Linked DNA regions of Neurospora crassa OR74A. The protein of the gene in region 1 interacts with the protein of each later gene in a pairwise test. Links are inferred from orthologs where the notes say so. Each region holds a gene or a part of one and is shown in the gene's direction. Other genes may lie near its edges.

The links.
Region 2: the proteins of NCU03028 (region 1) and NCU03357 interact in a two-hybrid assay, tested with the Saccharomyces cerevisiae proteins (2 studies listed by BioGRID). The link is inferred for Neurospora crassa OR74A from reciprocal best matches to the Saccharomyces cerevisiae genes DSK2 and UFD2.

Annotation. Positions count from the first base shown.
Region 1 is NC_026501.1:8,390,926-8,397,994, reverse strand, and holds NCU03028 (deubiquitination-protection protein dph1), read left to right. Parts: upstream 1-3,229; 5' UTR 3,230-3,498; coding exon 3,499-3,933; intron 3,934-3,998; coding exon 3,999-4,859; 3' UTR 4,860-5,312; downstream 5,313-7,069. Other genes in the region: NCU03029 (hypothetical protein), read right to left, coding at 5,313-6,604, 6,675-7,069. UniProt on the Saccharomyces cerevisiae protein: Involved, with RAD23 in spindle pole body duplication. Involved in the ubiquitin-proteasome proteolytic pathway.
Region 2 is NC_026502.1:985,832-993,204, reverse strand, and holds NCU03357 (ubiquitin conjugation factor E4), read left to right. Parts: upstream 1-2,440; coding exon 2,441-3,195; intron 3,196-3,257; coding exon 3,258-3,471; intron 3,472-3,530; coding exon 3,531-4,933; intron 4,934-4,989; coding exon 4,990-5,926; 3' UTR 5,927-6,056; downstream 6,057-7,373. Other genes in the region: NCU03356 (hypothetical protein), read left to right, coding at 1-999. UniProt on the Saccharomyces cerevisiae protein: E4 ubiquitin chain-elongation enzyme specifically involved in polyubiquitin chain assembly.

The DNA of each region.
Region 1 (7,069 bases):
AAGCGAACCTAGTGGAAGCCATCGAGTGAGAGCTGGGTGCAAGGTTGAAGTGAGTGAAGCCTGACTTTGAGGCCCATCTGGGCGGGGAAGTTTGACACAGGCCAATCTCCCCGCCCCAAGACAAAGAATTGAAATTGGAGAGCGACTTTTCATGGTGGCTTGGTCATAGCCCTGAAAGCCTGAAAGGGCAGGCGCGATGACATGATTGCGATCGTGGCATCCGTTCAATTCCTCGCGCTGGAAGGAGTGAACAGCACAAAGGTGACGACCAGGGTTAGAGGGGTGAGTTTGTCAAATGCGCCCAGTGTAAGTAGAGGTACTTACCCTTAAGTATATTGCATCCGTCTTGTTGCTCAAGTTACCTCTACTGCTACTGGGCGGGTACCTCTCCTCCCTGTCTCGTTGCCACGTTCCTGGCCGTTGTGCAATGTCTCGACAACGGATCTTACGAGATGAGACACCCATCAGAGGCTAAGCTGAAGTAGGGGTATCTGCTCGAATTTGATGGCATTGCTGTTTCGAGAAATTATTAGTATTTTGGCGCCGGTTGAACGATGACGAGGAAGCCCGATTTGGACTGGAATGATGCAATGTCCTAAAACACACGGCCCAAGCAGTGTCTTCCACATGGCAGTTCCGAAGGGACCCTTCCCTAATTTAGTCATCACTGCCCGGGCAGTAGAGGTAAAAGCCCCTGTCGTCAGTGAGGATTTTGTTAGAGTACAGCTAATAGCGTCCCTGTACCTAACCCTGCCACTGGCCAGCTCCAATTGGGCTTCTGTGCCTGCGATTTTCTACCACGTCAAGCAGCAGGGCATCATGAATACAGGCAGTAGGAACCTCAACCTCACACCCTCGGGCAACCTACCTCGACACAGCAAACACAACGCCTCCCTGCGTGTCCGACACTTGGTCTCAGCGCCTCAACCTCCGATCTCTTTCTTTGTGTGCCCCCACGAAATCGATGTCCTCGCCATGTTATGACGTGTTCCACGCCGCTCCTAAAACCCGAGTCACTTACACAAGGCTGCTGTTGATGCAGGTGCCCAATTCAACGCAAGTATTGGATACGGACAGCATTGCTTAATTCCATCCGCTTCGTGCCTGGCCACTTCTTGGCTCACTAGAGGACTCATCATGCAGTCAACTCAACAAATTTAAGCACACCCGCCGGCGTCCGGCAACCAGCCTGAAATGGCCTGCTGTCGGCTGTCTAGCTTCAACCGTGGAGAGCTGTCATGTGTTCCTTCAGTCAGTGCAGCAACATGGCTGGAAACCCCCTTGTTCGGAGACAGAAAGTTGCACGCGACCTCTTGGTACTTGATGCTGCACCTCCAGTTGCACAACCGCCAGTCGTGCCATGGTCGCTCTTCTCAGCTGGTCGGTATTTCTCCGATGCGCCCTGCCCCGAACCGCGAGTGGTTGTCATAGAAGTTCAAGAGCAGGAGTCCTCGAAGAGTGCCTCGTATGTCCATATGATGACTCCTATTGCGTCCAATTTCTCATGTGGCTTGCCGGCATGGGAAAAAGACCATCTGTAGCTGAAAGACATGCAGCGGGCGGGACCTTCCATGAAAACTGCAGTTTGAGACATTGCTAACGAGCGAGGAAGATTCCATTAGATCCTTGGGATCCTGGTGTCGTCTGTCGATAAGTTTCGGTCCAACGTGGCAGCACAGCCTTTCCTCAACGAAGCCCGGGATTGGATCTCTTCGAGGCCCAGAACCGGAAGGTTGCATTTCACGAGATCGATTCAGGCAGCGCCTGTCCGCTGAATCCCGTATACAACAACCCACATGACCGGCGTCGCACGCGTAGCAGCTCTACCTTGACGGGCCATCTCTTGGGAAAGCGCTGATCTCCTCCTCAGTCCATGCCCTTGCCCACGCCAACTCCACTTCAGACGGACGAACGAAGAAGAATCCTCATCAACGTGAGGGCACTCGCTGCTAGTGCGTCGACATCTCGCATTGACGGACAGCCTATCATAGTGTAATAGTTCCATGATCTCAAAGGTTTGTGGAAGACAATGGTCGCTTAAGCACGTCGTATCCTTGCTTGGCCCGCAGCAAGAAGAACTGCCTAGGCGGTATGCTCTAAAGTGCGGTTAGAGATGTGTCTTGATGTACACCAAGGCTACACCAAGGCGGTGAAGGAGCAGATGCTCGATATCCTTGATACACTTACCTGGAGTATCCTGGCATGGTCCACGGACCATGCACTCTGAGCTGTACATACCTGTCTGGTATAGTCCATATGTTCTACCTCCTAGTTCGCTGAGGTTGACGCGACGGCCCATATAATGCCGCCATAACAACAAACGCTACTGATCAACCGAAAACGTGAGTAGTTTGCGAATACGATTTTGTTGTGCAGGTTTGACGGAAGACATCAACGAAAGATTATTCTCGCCAAACCGGCTATCGGCTGAGGGTCACTGAACCTTCAAGAATGCTGATTGCGCATCAAAGTAGGAGGTTTGATGCGTTGAGTTTCTTTCATCCACCAGAATAAAAGTGTAGGCAGAAGCGATGAAGTGTCTGCCATCTGAAGAAAGTTTGTTCAAAACCAGAGAAGGGAAGAGGTTTAGGTTTGTCAAGGGAAAGAGTGAGACGATTCGCCCTCGTCCATTAGTTTAGAAGGTACATGGATTTGGTTCGAAGCAGCAGCTAATCGACAGTACCCTGTCATCACACACATGCGATAACAAAAGCTACTGGACAAGCTGATAAGATGGGGGGAACCGGTCAGGTGTCAGGTCATGTGGATGCCGAGAGCCCGATAGAACCTCAAAGAAGCGGATGGGTGTGAGAGCAGGAGAGTACTATCAAGGTGTCGCAGCTGACTGGAACTAGTAGGTGACAAGATAGTGGCTCACCATCTATATGGCACGCAGAAGTTGCAATCAGGCACCGTTCGTATCATCCATCGATTCCATGTAGTATGTATACCTATGTATACGCCTAGTGACCGGCGTTCGTTACGTCGAGGCCCTGTGGGAAAGCTGAAGTAGGGTACTAAGGTACTGTAACATGCACTTGGTAGGTAGGGTTAGGGATGGAGTCGTGTTCAACGACAGAAGTGAAGCCTAAAAAGGCAAGAACCTCGGTGAACACTACACTACCTAGTATACCTTAATGACGGCTTGTAGTGGGGTCTGCTGCCTGCCGTGGAGGGGCTCTTAATGCCATGCCACCCACCTGCCACTGTTGGCGGCAGCGCTTATCGGCCTCCGCCTGTGACCTTCCAACATTACAACAACTCAATTACTTTGGTTCCCAACACAACCCTTTTCCGTAGCATCACCATTCCTCAACTTTCACCAGCACACGAAGCTATCGTAATTCCATACGAACGACTTTGCAGCAGGCTTTCACATAATCCCATCACAAAGTGCTGAACTCGAACGTGGGGCGATCGGAGCTCCCCTGAGACCAACGTCATCATCCACGACCGCCATTAACCGTTTCATTGCCGAATCGTAAAGCGATAGAAATCATGGCTGAGGCTTCAAATACTGGCGGCGATGGCCAGATTACCTTCAAAGTAAAATGCTCAGGCGACAAGAACCACACAGTCACCATTGCCGAGTCTGCGACCGTCCTTCAGCTCAAGACCCTGTTAGCGGGGGAGGAATACGAGAACATCTCGCCGGAGCAGCAACGCCTCATCTACTCCGGAAAGGTCATGAAGGACGATGAAGTTCTTAGTTTCTACAAGATCAAGCACATGAACACAGTGCACATGGTTAAGCGTCCAGCCAGCGCCGCGACAGCCAGCAGTGGCTCAACCTCGACACCCGCTCAGCCCGCGATACCTCAGAACATGGCTGCCGGCACTCCCTCGAATAACCTTTTAGCTGGCCTCACAGGCGCTCGCTTTGCCGGTCAGGTGCCGCTACCAAGCCGAGACCTGTTTGGGCCGGACGGAGGAGTACGCCACCCCTTTCTCGGCCCCCTGGACCCTTAACATAGCTGTTTACTAATGATGTTTTATAGATGGGCGCGCCTCCTAGCGAGGATGAAATCGCGAACATGCTCTCGAACCCAGCGATGGCCCAGGTCATGGCCGAGGCGTTCAACAACCCCGCCGTCATCGACCAGATGATTGCCTCCAACCCGATGTTGGCCAACATGCCCGCTGATCGCGCTCGCGAGCTTCTCAACTCTCCGATGATGCGCAACATGATGACGAACCCGGAGGCACTTCGCATGGCGGCACGCATGCGTAGGATGATGGGCGGAGGCGCCAACGCCTTTCCAGCGCCCGGGGTAACGGACAACACTCCGAACGCGACGACCGGTGCCGGTAATAACAACGCCAATGCCGATGCGCAGAACCCGTTCGCCATGTTTCTTCCATTTGGTGTTCCTCCGGCGGGCGCTCCCCCAGCAGGTAATCCCTTTGCCGCGCTCTTTGGAAACCCCGCGGGGTCTTCGCCTGCGTCTACCGGAGCTTCGACCGAGAGTGCCAGGAGCGGGGATGCCGCATCTGCTCCGGCTACTGGCGCCACTTCGGGGTCTGGGCAGCAAGCAGATCCGTTGGCATCTTTGTTCGGAGCGCTTGGAGGTGCTGGTCAGCCTGGTCAGGCTGGTGCCGCGAACCCTTTTGGTTTGCCCCCTATCTCGCCTGAGGCCTTGCAGCAGATGATGCAGGCATTTGGTGGCGGTGGTTTGGGTGGTTTTGGCGGAAATCCCGTTGCTCCTCCCGACAACAGGCCGCCAGAGGAGAGGTATGCTGAGCAGCTGCGTCAACTCAACGATATGGGTTTCTTCGATTTTGATCGGAACGTTGCTGCACTACGCCGCAGCGGTGGTAGCGTACAGGGTGCTATCGAACATCTTCTGGGCGGTTCTTAACTTAAATTTCTTTACTAGACGGTGCAGAGATGTGGACCGGAGATTGACAGTTATCTGCTGTTCCTCAAGGATACGGCGGTATTCACAATGAACGACAGAATGTCGAGGGGATAGTGGATTGAAGGATGTCCAGGGAGTGCAGTGTTATCTCCTGGCGAGGTCATTGTTGGGCCGTGCTAGATATATTTTAATCAAATATCTAGCGATAATGGTTGCTCAGGAGGACGATAGACAGTCCAGCACAGAGACGATGCTCAAAACAACACCCCTTCAGCGGGTGTCCTCACGTAAGGAGGTTTACATGTTTACAGTTTAGCGATCTTTATCAAACATGTCTCCTCTTGCTTGAATCAACAAGGTTCTTTTGTCCTCTAAGAAGACGAGTTCGCATACAGTAGCCGGGCTAACTATCAACACCACTAATCAACTCTTATTTGCATGCTATCATTCCCTCTACCGATAAAGCACCGTCAAATCCCCAGCCGGCACCGGAAAGTTCCTCAATTTATCCATAATCTCCGCGTCCGTCATGTTCCTCTCCGTCATGATCTGATCAAAACAATGTCGTCCATCCATATACTTTTGCAACGGATCCCCACTAGCCTTCATCATCATCGCCATCTTCTTGCTGTTCGACCCCTTCCCCCCCGGACCCCCATGACTCCCGGGTTCACGATAGGTATCATAATGTCCGCCCGGCACCGCCACTTTATGTTCCCTCCCCATTTCCCCTTCGCCATACCCCCTCCCACTTTTCCCTTTGCCTGTGCCAGTTCCGGTGTCGGATGGCGAAACAGGTCTAGCCAACCCCGTAGCTAGCGCAGCCAGATACTGTTTCGAGATAACATACTTGTGCACCCTGTACAAACACCCCTTGATGACGCCAAATTGAACTAAGCGGCGAACGTCCACGTACCGTAGGACGTCGAAGCCGGAATCCATATGGCCCTTGAGCCATTCGGCCACGGTTTTGCCGACGCAGAAGGTAGTCATTAGGCGGATTAGCATGTAGTTGGATATGCGGTATCCGTTGGGTGGTGGGGGCTTGTTAGACGGTGGGGAGGAGGAGGAGTGGATGTTGGAGGAAGGGTTGCGGGGGGAGGTGGAGGGCTTTCGTTCGTGGACGGGGGAGAGGTGGTGTTGGGCGTAAGGGCTGGGATCGCGGTCGGAACCACCTCCTGGGCCAAGGCCAAAGGGGGAGAGGTGGCTGTGGCGTGTGCTGGCAGAGGTGGAGAGGTTGGAGGGATTGTGGTTGTGGAAAGTGGTGCTTCCTGACACAGAACGGAGACGGTGGTAGTTGTCGGAGGAAGAAGAAGAAGAAGAAGGTCCGGCGCCGGTGCCGGTGTTGTTGCTGCTGCTGGGAGACGGATCGATAGGTCCGACGCAGACGTAGTTAGCACATTCGTCGACCATGCCGCCTACGTTGGCGATGAAGTCGTGGATGCCCGGGCGAGGGGCGTAGCACGCGCCGAACAAGAACATGTCTAGGAGCAGGATAGTGTCGTAGTAGAGCAAGTGGCGGAGGGCGAGCTGGGTCAGCTCGAGGGAGACGCCGGAGGCCAGAGCAATGCGGCGCACGTCGGAAACGCCATCGATATGAGCGACGACGCGCTGCAGGGTTAGATCCCAGGTTGGGTCGACGACGTCGGCGAACTTCATCTTGGCGACGGGGACGTGCCAGCCTTTGACTTCAGGGGGGTTGACGTGGTGAGGAAAGAGTTTCATGTTGATTGTGTTAGCGTCGTCTGTTTTGAAACGGTCAGCATTTTTTGTAACTAAGGTGATGAAGGGGGGTGAATAGGTAGGGAGATATACCAATGGGAATCATGCACTCTCCATAGTTATTCAGATCCTCCTTCACAATCTCCAGCAACGATTCTATCGGCCGCCGCATACTCACCATTTCATTCCCGTCCCCATCCACCCAACGGCCCCCGCCATTGCCATACCCATGAACCGCGACCGCTCCGCCCCTCGTGGCCGCGTCCTGGCTCAGGTAGCCGTCCTGCTTCTCCATCTCGGCAAAGGTGGCCGCCAGCCTCCTTACGACGCGTTCATAGGGGATCTGGTCCACCACATCGCAACTGATGACGAGCCCAAAGTTGAAAATGAACTCGTTCCGGTCGTACCGCGGGTCCGGAATGGAGACGGGGTATCCCAGGATGACGTACTTGCCGTCCGGGTCATTGACGGTGATGAAGCGGTTGCAG
Region 2 (7,373 bases), on another chromosome or scaffold:
GTTGCGCGGAGGAAAGATATCGAGGAGCATCTCAAGAACGGGTGCATCTATGAGGCGATTGCGAATCTCATGCAGGCGCGGGAGGAAGACCACAAGATTATCAATGAGTTGAAGGGACGACTAGACGCTCTAGACGGACGAACACGACATCTGGAAAGATATGGTGGTGGTAGTGGTGGTGGTGGTGGTGCTGGCAGCAGTGGGGTACGGGAGTCATCTGCATTCACCAGAGCAGCGCCGCCATCGTCAGGCCTAACCGCTGATGCCCTCAACAACTTGAACCGTATGCAGTCGGCCACGTCAGGCTACGCAGACATCGACGAGGCCAATCACAACATCACGCTGGATGACCTCTTTGAAACTTTCGACCAAGAAAACAACCACCACAATGACAGCAACTACAGTAGCCCACAAGCGGCGGCGGCAGCGATGGCGGCGGATGCACCCCCGGCCCCGTGGGCACACAACAGTGGCGACGGGCCGTGGGAGTCACCAGAGGATTACATGCTTTCCCAGTTTGAGGCCATGGAGGCCAAGATTGAAGACTTGCGCAAGATGATGGTGGAGCTTGACGGGAGACACACAATGAGGCTGGTCAATGATACGATGAGGATGAATGAACAAATCGCCGAGCTTGGGAGTAAAGTGGGAGTATTAGGAATGCATACTACGTGGTTGATGAGCATGCAAAGGCAAAGTCGCGGACAGCAAAATGGCTCTGGGTCAACGCCCGGGACTACGAGATCAAATATTTCTGCTAGTGGTGGTGGCAGTGGTGGCGGCAGTGGCGGTACTGGTGGTAATAACGAGGAGGGGAGAGGCAGGACGAATGCGGCGGCGGCTGGTGCTTCCAACTCGTCAAGGACGGCTACACAGACACAGCAGAGTAGCAGAAATGGTGATGGAGAGAGTGCGAGAGGGAGGTATCTCAATACCAGTGATATCCCGCCGTTGAGGAGGAGTAGCGTGGGGAGGGGTGAGAATCCACCTCGACTTTGATGGATGTTTGGGTTCGCCTTCCTGGGGCAGACACTGGGGTCATATATTTCTGCTGCTGTGCCTCAGTGTCTGAGCCGTCCCGAACGGAAGTAACAGTGTCTGTTGGTTTTGGAAACATACCATAATGGTCTGAAGGAGAAGAACGGGTATGCATAGGTTTTGTATGTTGGCGTTTGGGATGGATCGGGAAAGCACTTGGAGGTTGTCTTATTGCAACGTCGGGCCTTGGTCTAAAGCTTAGATAGCCTATAGACCAAAGAATATAGGAGACGAATCAAACCTCTGTGTTGGAATTTGGCACGCTTGAAAGAGCTAATAGCAACTGAAAGAACGGCTACATGGTCTAGGTCTGTTTCCCATGGTGTTTTGGACAAGACGGCTTTCAAAGTATCTAGAATGCTTTGACTTTGTTGGCTCCCCGTAATCTTCTTACCTATTCATGTAGATGAGTTGAACAATGACAGCTGCATTCCGCATTTACGGCGAAGGAAAGTCACTGTCACATCCAGCGTTATACTAGTGATTCTAGGGTCCTTCCATGAAAAACGCCAACGAAGAATTAGTTATCATCTTCTTGTCATTCAGCCCGTTTCTGCTTCATTAGGTTGCGAGGTTACCTCTACATAGAAGTACCCCTTATGGTAGACTACATATGTAGTACAATGGTGCTGGTTTGTTTGTTAGCTTGGTACCTAGAGGTACTCCTGGTACACTGGACGAGATCTCCCGTCTTCCGAATTGTCCCAAACCGTACAAGGACTGAATGAAAGGCATGAACAAGATCCAATTCGTTCTCTTTCATTTTGGAGAAATGGAAGCATATTCCCAGTCTGAAAACGCATAGTCTAAGAGGTAGCTATAGGGACGGGAAGTTGATCCAAAGACCCGCGGGAGCTAACAATCGAACCAGTATTGCCTACAGTGCAGTAAATCATGTCCCGCCAAAAGCACTAAATGTAAGTAACGTCCCGAAATACCCCGCCAACCTGTGAACTCCAGGAGCTCCATGCAGTAGGCTTGTTCGGGGCAGGCAGGCTCCACGTCACATTCACAGATGTCAACGTAATCTTGTCAGCGCAAAAGGTGCATGGGAATTGCTACTTCCTCCTGATCACTATCCGAGGGCTTTCCGCTAGAGTATGCTAGAGTCATTCCTTATTACTACCTAACTTTGGCACCCGCACTATCACATACTACTGTGGTTAGCTCAAGAGCGAAGTACCAACCTTGAGCACCCGCAGCCGAAGACAACCTCCAGCTTCGGACAGTCACCTCCATCCTCCTTCTCCTCATCCTTCGCCTCAACCTCCCAACGCACATCCAGCTTTACGTCGTCACCGCCAGCTTGAGCCCTTCTTCTCCTTAGGCTCTCTCCGTCACGATAATCACAATATCCGTACATCCTTAATCCCTTTCCTCTTCGCCCAACGACGACGACAAGATGGATCCGAATCAGCAACAGCCGGCGGCCACGCCGGATGCGCCTGATAAAGAGACGATGGAGCAGATCCGTGCCCGACGACTGGCTAAGCTCGGTGGCCCCAATGTCGCTTCTACTACATCGCCAGCTGCGTCCTCTTCCACGCCTCAGCCTGGCACCGAAACCCCTCCCGCTGCTGCTGCTGTGGCGGCGGCGGCGGCGGCGGCGAGTTCGTCAAAGATCGAAGACAAGGCACCGCGAGTTCAGCCAAGGTCGATAATCAAGCCGGCGTCACGAGATGTGCCAGAGCCACCACCAGGTAGTTCCGCTTCCCGAAAGAGAGAAAGATCCCTTTCAAATATTGATGATATTCCATGCCCACCAGCACCGCGAAAGCAATACAGGGAACAGACGCTCGAGGAATGGACCGACAAGCTACTCACCAGCATCCTTCGCGTGTCTCTCGATCCGAACCAGACCTTCGATAGCAGTGGCCATAACTTGACCTTTCTGCCAGAACTCAGCCAGGAAATTCGGGGCGAGTATCAGGAGCCCTTGCTGTCGATCGACCGATTTCAAGAGGCCGTTATGGAGGCCGGAAGGATCTATCCGCCGCACAAGCCCCTATTCGAATACTTCCTGGCATGCTGGAAGCGGGTCACCAGATATAGGATATTGAGGGCGTCGACTCCTGAGAAGGAAGAAGCCCTCAAGGAGGCCAAGCGCTTGTGCTTCTCGAACTGCATCTTCGCCGTTACTATGCCCGAGATGTTTGGGTATTTATCCCCCGTGTCCTCTTTACAGTTTGCTCTAGCTGACATGATCCAAATTTGAAAAGTCGAGAACCAAACCCAAAGCACGATACCATAGTCCCCTACATTTTGGAAGGTGTTGCGAAGGAAGAAGGCCTCGACATCGAGTTTTACAACGAGGCCATGACACGGATCGAGGACGACGATAGCATTGTACCTCTCTTCACCAAGGCCATGGTGGAAATCAGCACAGCGCTGTCTACCAAAAACATGAACGGCGATTATCAGCCGCACGTCCAGGTGAGTTTGACAAGCGACTTGAACGAATTGTGCTGAGCGTTGACGTTGGAACCTCACAGGCCCTCTTCACATACTCGAGATATCCGGCTCTCGTGAACGCTTTGGCGGAACACCCTACTTTCCTTATGGCGCAATCAGCCCCCAACATTGAACGGTTCACGCTGCTCGGGCCATTCTTCCGCCTGTCGCCCTTACACCCAGAGGCGGCCAGTTACGACTTTGCCGCACCAAGGACTCTTGACAAGGGCCGAATTGGCACAACCCAACAATCGTTACAAATGACGTTGGCTGCCCATCAGGAACACTTGACGACGATAGCTAATGCCTTCATACGAGCAAGCACTAGCTCGAGAAACAAGCTCCTGGACTGGTTCGCCTACATCATGAATGTCAACCATAAGCGCACAGCCACTTATGTCGACCCCAAGACCGTTTCGTCGGACGGCTTCATGGTCAATGTCACTGTCGTCCTCGACAATCTATGCAAGCCTTTCATGGATAACTCCTTTACCAAGATTGACCGTATTCAGGTCGACTACTTCAGGCGGAAGCCCAGATTGGACATCAAGGAAGAGACCAAGCTCAACGCTGACCAAGAGCACTCGGACGCGTTTTACTCTACAAAACTCGAAGGGGAGAACAACTTTATAACAGAGGTCTTCTTCCTCGCTTTGGCGGCACATCAGTATGGCACCGAAGCCACCCAAAACAAGCTAAAGGAACTTGACAAGCAAATTAAGCATTTCCAAAAGAACTTGACCCTTATGGAGGCTGACCGTCCCAACATTGTCGCCAATCATCCGGAACGAGTACCTATGCTAGAGGCGGCGCAGAGGAGACTGATCAAGATGCTGGAGAGCGCCATGTCGGCCAAATTTGCCATCGAAGGCATTATGACCGACAAGACGCTGCAAACGCGGTCACTACAGTTCATGAAGTACACGATTGTGTGGCTACTGCGAGTAGCCAGTCAGTCCGACTACGTCCCATGGAAGAAAATCAGCCTTCCGCTGCCTGAAACTCAGCCAGAAGCTTTCAGGTGTCTTCCCGAGTATGTTCTGCAGGTAATTGTTGATAACTTGAAGTTCACCTTCCGCCATAGGCCAGAGGTCATGGTCTCGGCCATTGGTGACGAGGTCGTTGCTCTATGCATAACGTTTCTGGAATCCTCCGAGTACATCAAGAACCCGTACTTGAAATCGTCGCTGGTTACCCTCCTTTATCAGGGCACCTGGCCGGCATACCATCTTAAAAAGGGCATTCTTGGCGACATCCTTACCGGCACCAAGTTCGCGAATGACTACCTGCTACATGCTGTGATGAAGTACTATATTGAGTGCGAGTCGAATGGTACCAGTTCCGCGTTCTACGAAAAGTTCAACATACGTTTTGAGATCTTCCAGGTTATCAAGTGCGTCTGGACCAATGACCATTACAAGAAGCAGTTGACAGAGTCCAGCAGGTCAGTATATGTTTTGTCCTACGATCTCTTTGCTGAATCCGACTAACTCGACCTAGGGTGGACCGCGACTTCTTCGTTCGTTTTGTCAATCTTCTCATGAACGATGCAACATACGTTCTGGATGAAGCATTGAGCAACTTCCCCAAGATCCATGACTTCCAGCAAAAGCTAAAGGACCCCAGTCTTTCGCAAGAGGATCGCGAAAAGATGGAGAGCGATTTACACGACGCGGAAAACAAGGCCAGTTCCTATATGCAGCTTGCGAACGAGACAGTCGGCATGATGAAGCTCTTCACCCAAACCCTGGCTGAGTCCTTCACCATGCCAGAAATCGTTCACCGCCTGGCCGGTATGCTCGATTTCAACCTTGACCTCCTCACCGGTCCTAAGAGCCGGACGTTGAAGGTTGAGAACCCCGACAAGTATGGCTTCAACCCCAAGATTCTGCTACCGCAGCTCGTGGACATCTACCTGAACTTGGGTTCCTCGCCTGCCTTTGTCGAGGCCGTTGCTGCAGACGGCAGATCCTACAAGCCTGAGACCATGGCGTCTGCCACCAACATTCTTCGCTCAAAGGCACTCAAGAATCCTACCGAGATGCACGCGTGGGAGGTGTTGTGCAAATGCTTCGAAGAGGCCAAGGCCATCGTCGACCAGGCTGATCTCGACTTTGGCGACGCACCGCCCGAGTTCGAAGACCCCATCATGGGCGACTTGATGAAGGACCCGGTGATTCTACCCAGCAAGCACGTTGTCGATCGGTCGACTATCGTGCAGCACTTGCTCAGTGACCCGAAAGACCCGTTCACGAGACAGCCCATGACTATTGATGATGTCATTCCGGATACGGAACTGAAGGCTAAGATTGAGAAGTGGATGGAGGACAGGAGGGCAGAGATTCGCGGCAAGGTCGAGGAAGTGACGCCTGCTGTTGGTGATATTGCCGGAGCGGAGGCGGCGACGGGCGGAGATGCTATGGACACTACCGAGTAAGAGGTCGGGGTGGATGTTGTGGTTACATGCCTACATAGACATACATTCTTGGTTTGGTAGGTATAACATGAAGCATCAGCGTAAATAAGAGATAGGAGGAATATAAGAAGCGTAAAGAAAATCGCTATGGATCTTGGCTCGTCCCTGACAAATCTGTTGAGACCCAGTTAGTCTGCACAATTGTGGTTTGTACATTATGCCTCAGGTGTACTTTCATAATATTTCTACGCATATTGTTTGTACCTTTGAACCTGAATTTTAGGCATTTCATGTATAACGAAAGGCATCCCGAAGGGACTGTAGCTAGCGTGTTTGCATAGTATGATGATTCCTACTACGATTTTCTGGCAGCTTTCCTAACCACAACGGACAGTATTGGACTGTTCCTGTTCGGTTTATGCTCGCCCGCCAAGGCTACTTCCAGAAGTTCCATCAACTTTGTCAAGGGCAAGACATTATTCATTATAGGTATAAGCTTCATGGAATTTCCCATCAGCATACAAAGGACACGAACGTACATTGACCACGAGAAAAAGAAAAAAGAGTCTCCGGTCGTTGACATGAGATAGTAACCAATTTGTAAGCAACACTTGGTTTCAACGGTCTGATCCACCTCATGATATTTTATCACCGACAAACAGACTGTAGTGTGTAAGTACCAAATCGACATTTGGCTACTCAATGAAAACTCGATCTTGATATAATATTCAGGTCCAATCAAGTTGTCGCACCAGACCAGTCCGGGTGTTACAATGAAAGGACGAAACGGCGTTAACAAGACGGCAGTTTCGGAGTTAGGTAGCAGATAACAAATGTGGTTTATCGCCCGCCGTAGTGTACCTAGTGTACTGTAGCGTAGTAGTACAGAAATACTGTGTAACCTCGGGGCAAAAAAGTAGCGAGCGCACCTGTGCATCAATGACGTTTTCAATGGACCCCACGCTAAACGGAATGTCTCCATTACAGTAGTATACTGTACGCAGTAGTGTAATGACCCCACAGTGCTTAGGCGAGCTACGGGGCGAGCTTAGCAATTGCTTGGTAGGTAGGTAGGTAGGTAGGTACCTAGCTTGGGAAGGGGCGGGGTTCCGTGTTACATACAGTTCACATTACATATCCGAGGGGGAGGAAAGTTCGAAATCGTGGGAGGGTGCCTGATGAGGGGCTGACTTCGAAATGGGATGAAAGATGTATGGGACAACGTGTCGGGGTTAAGTCTAGGATGGGGATGGGAATTGGGGGGATGAGGTTATGTGGGGGCGGGTTGCCGGTCGGGAATTGGAACAAAGTTGGGAGAGACACGGGATCGGAGTGCGGGATGGCGGGATTGCGGGGAGCCCGGCGCGCGGGTTTGTAATTGTATAAAAGAGGGATGAATGCCCCCGTTATACTAAGTAGTAGAGTGGAAGAGGCATCATCGATATTGTGCTATCGCTTTTTATCATAC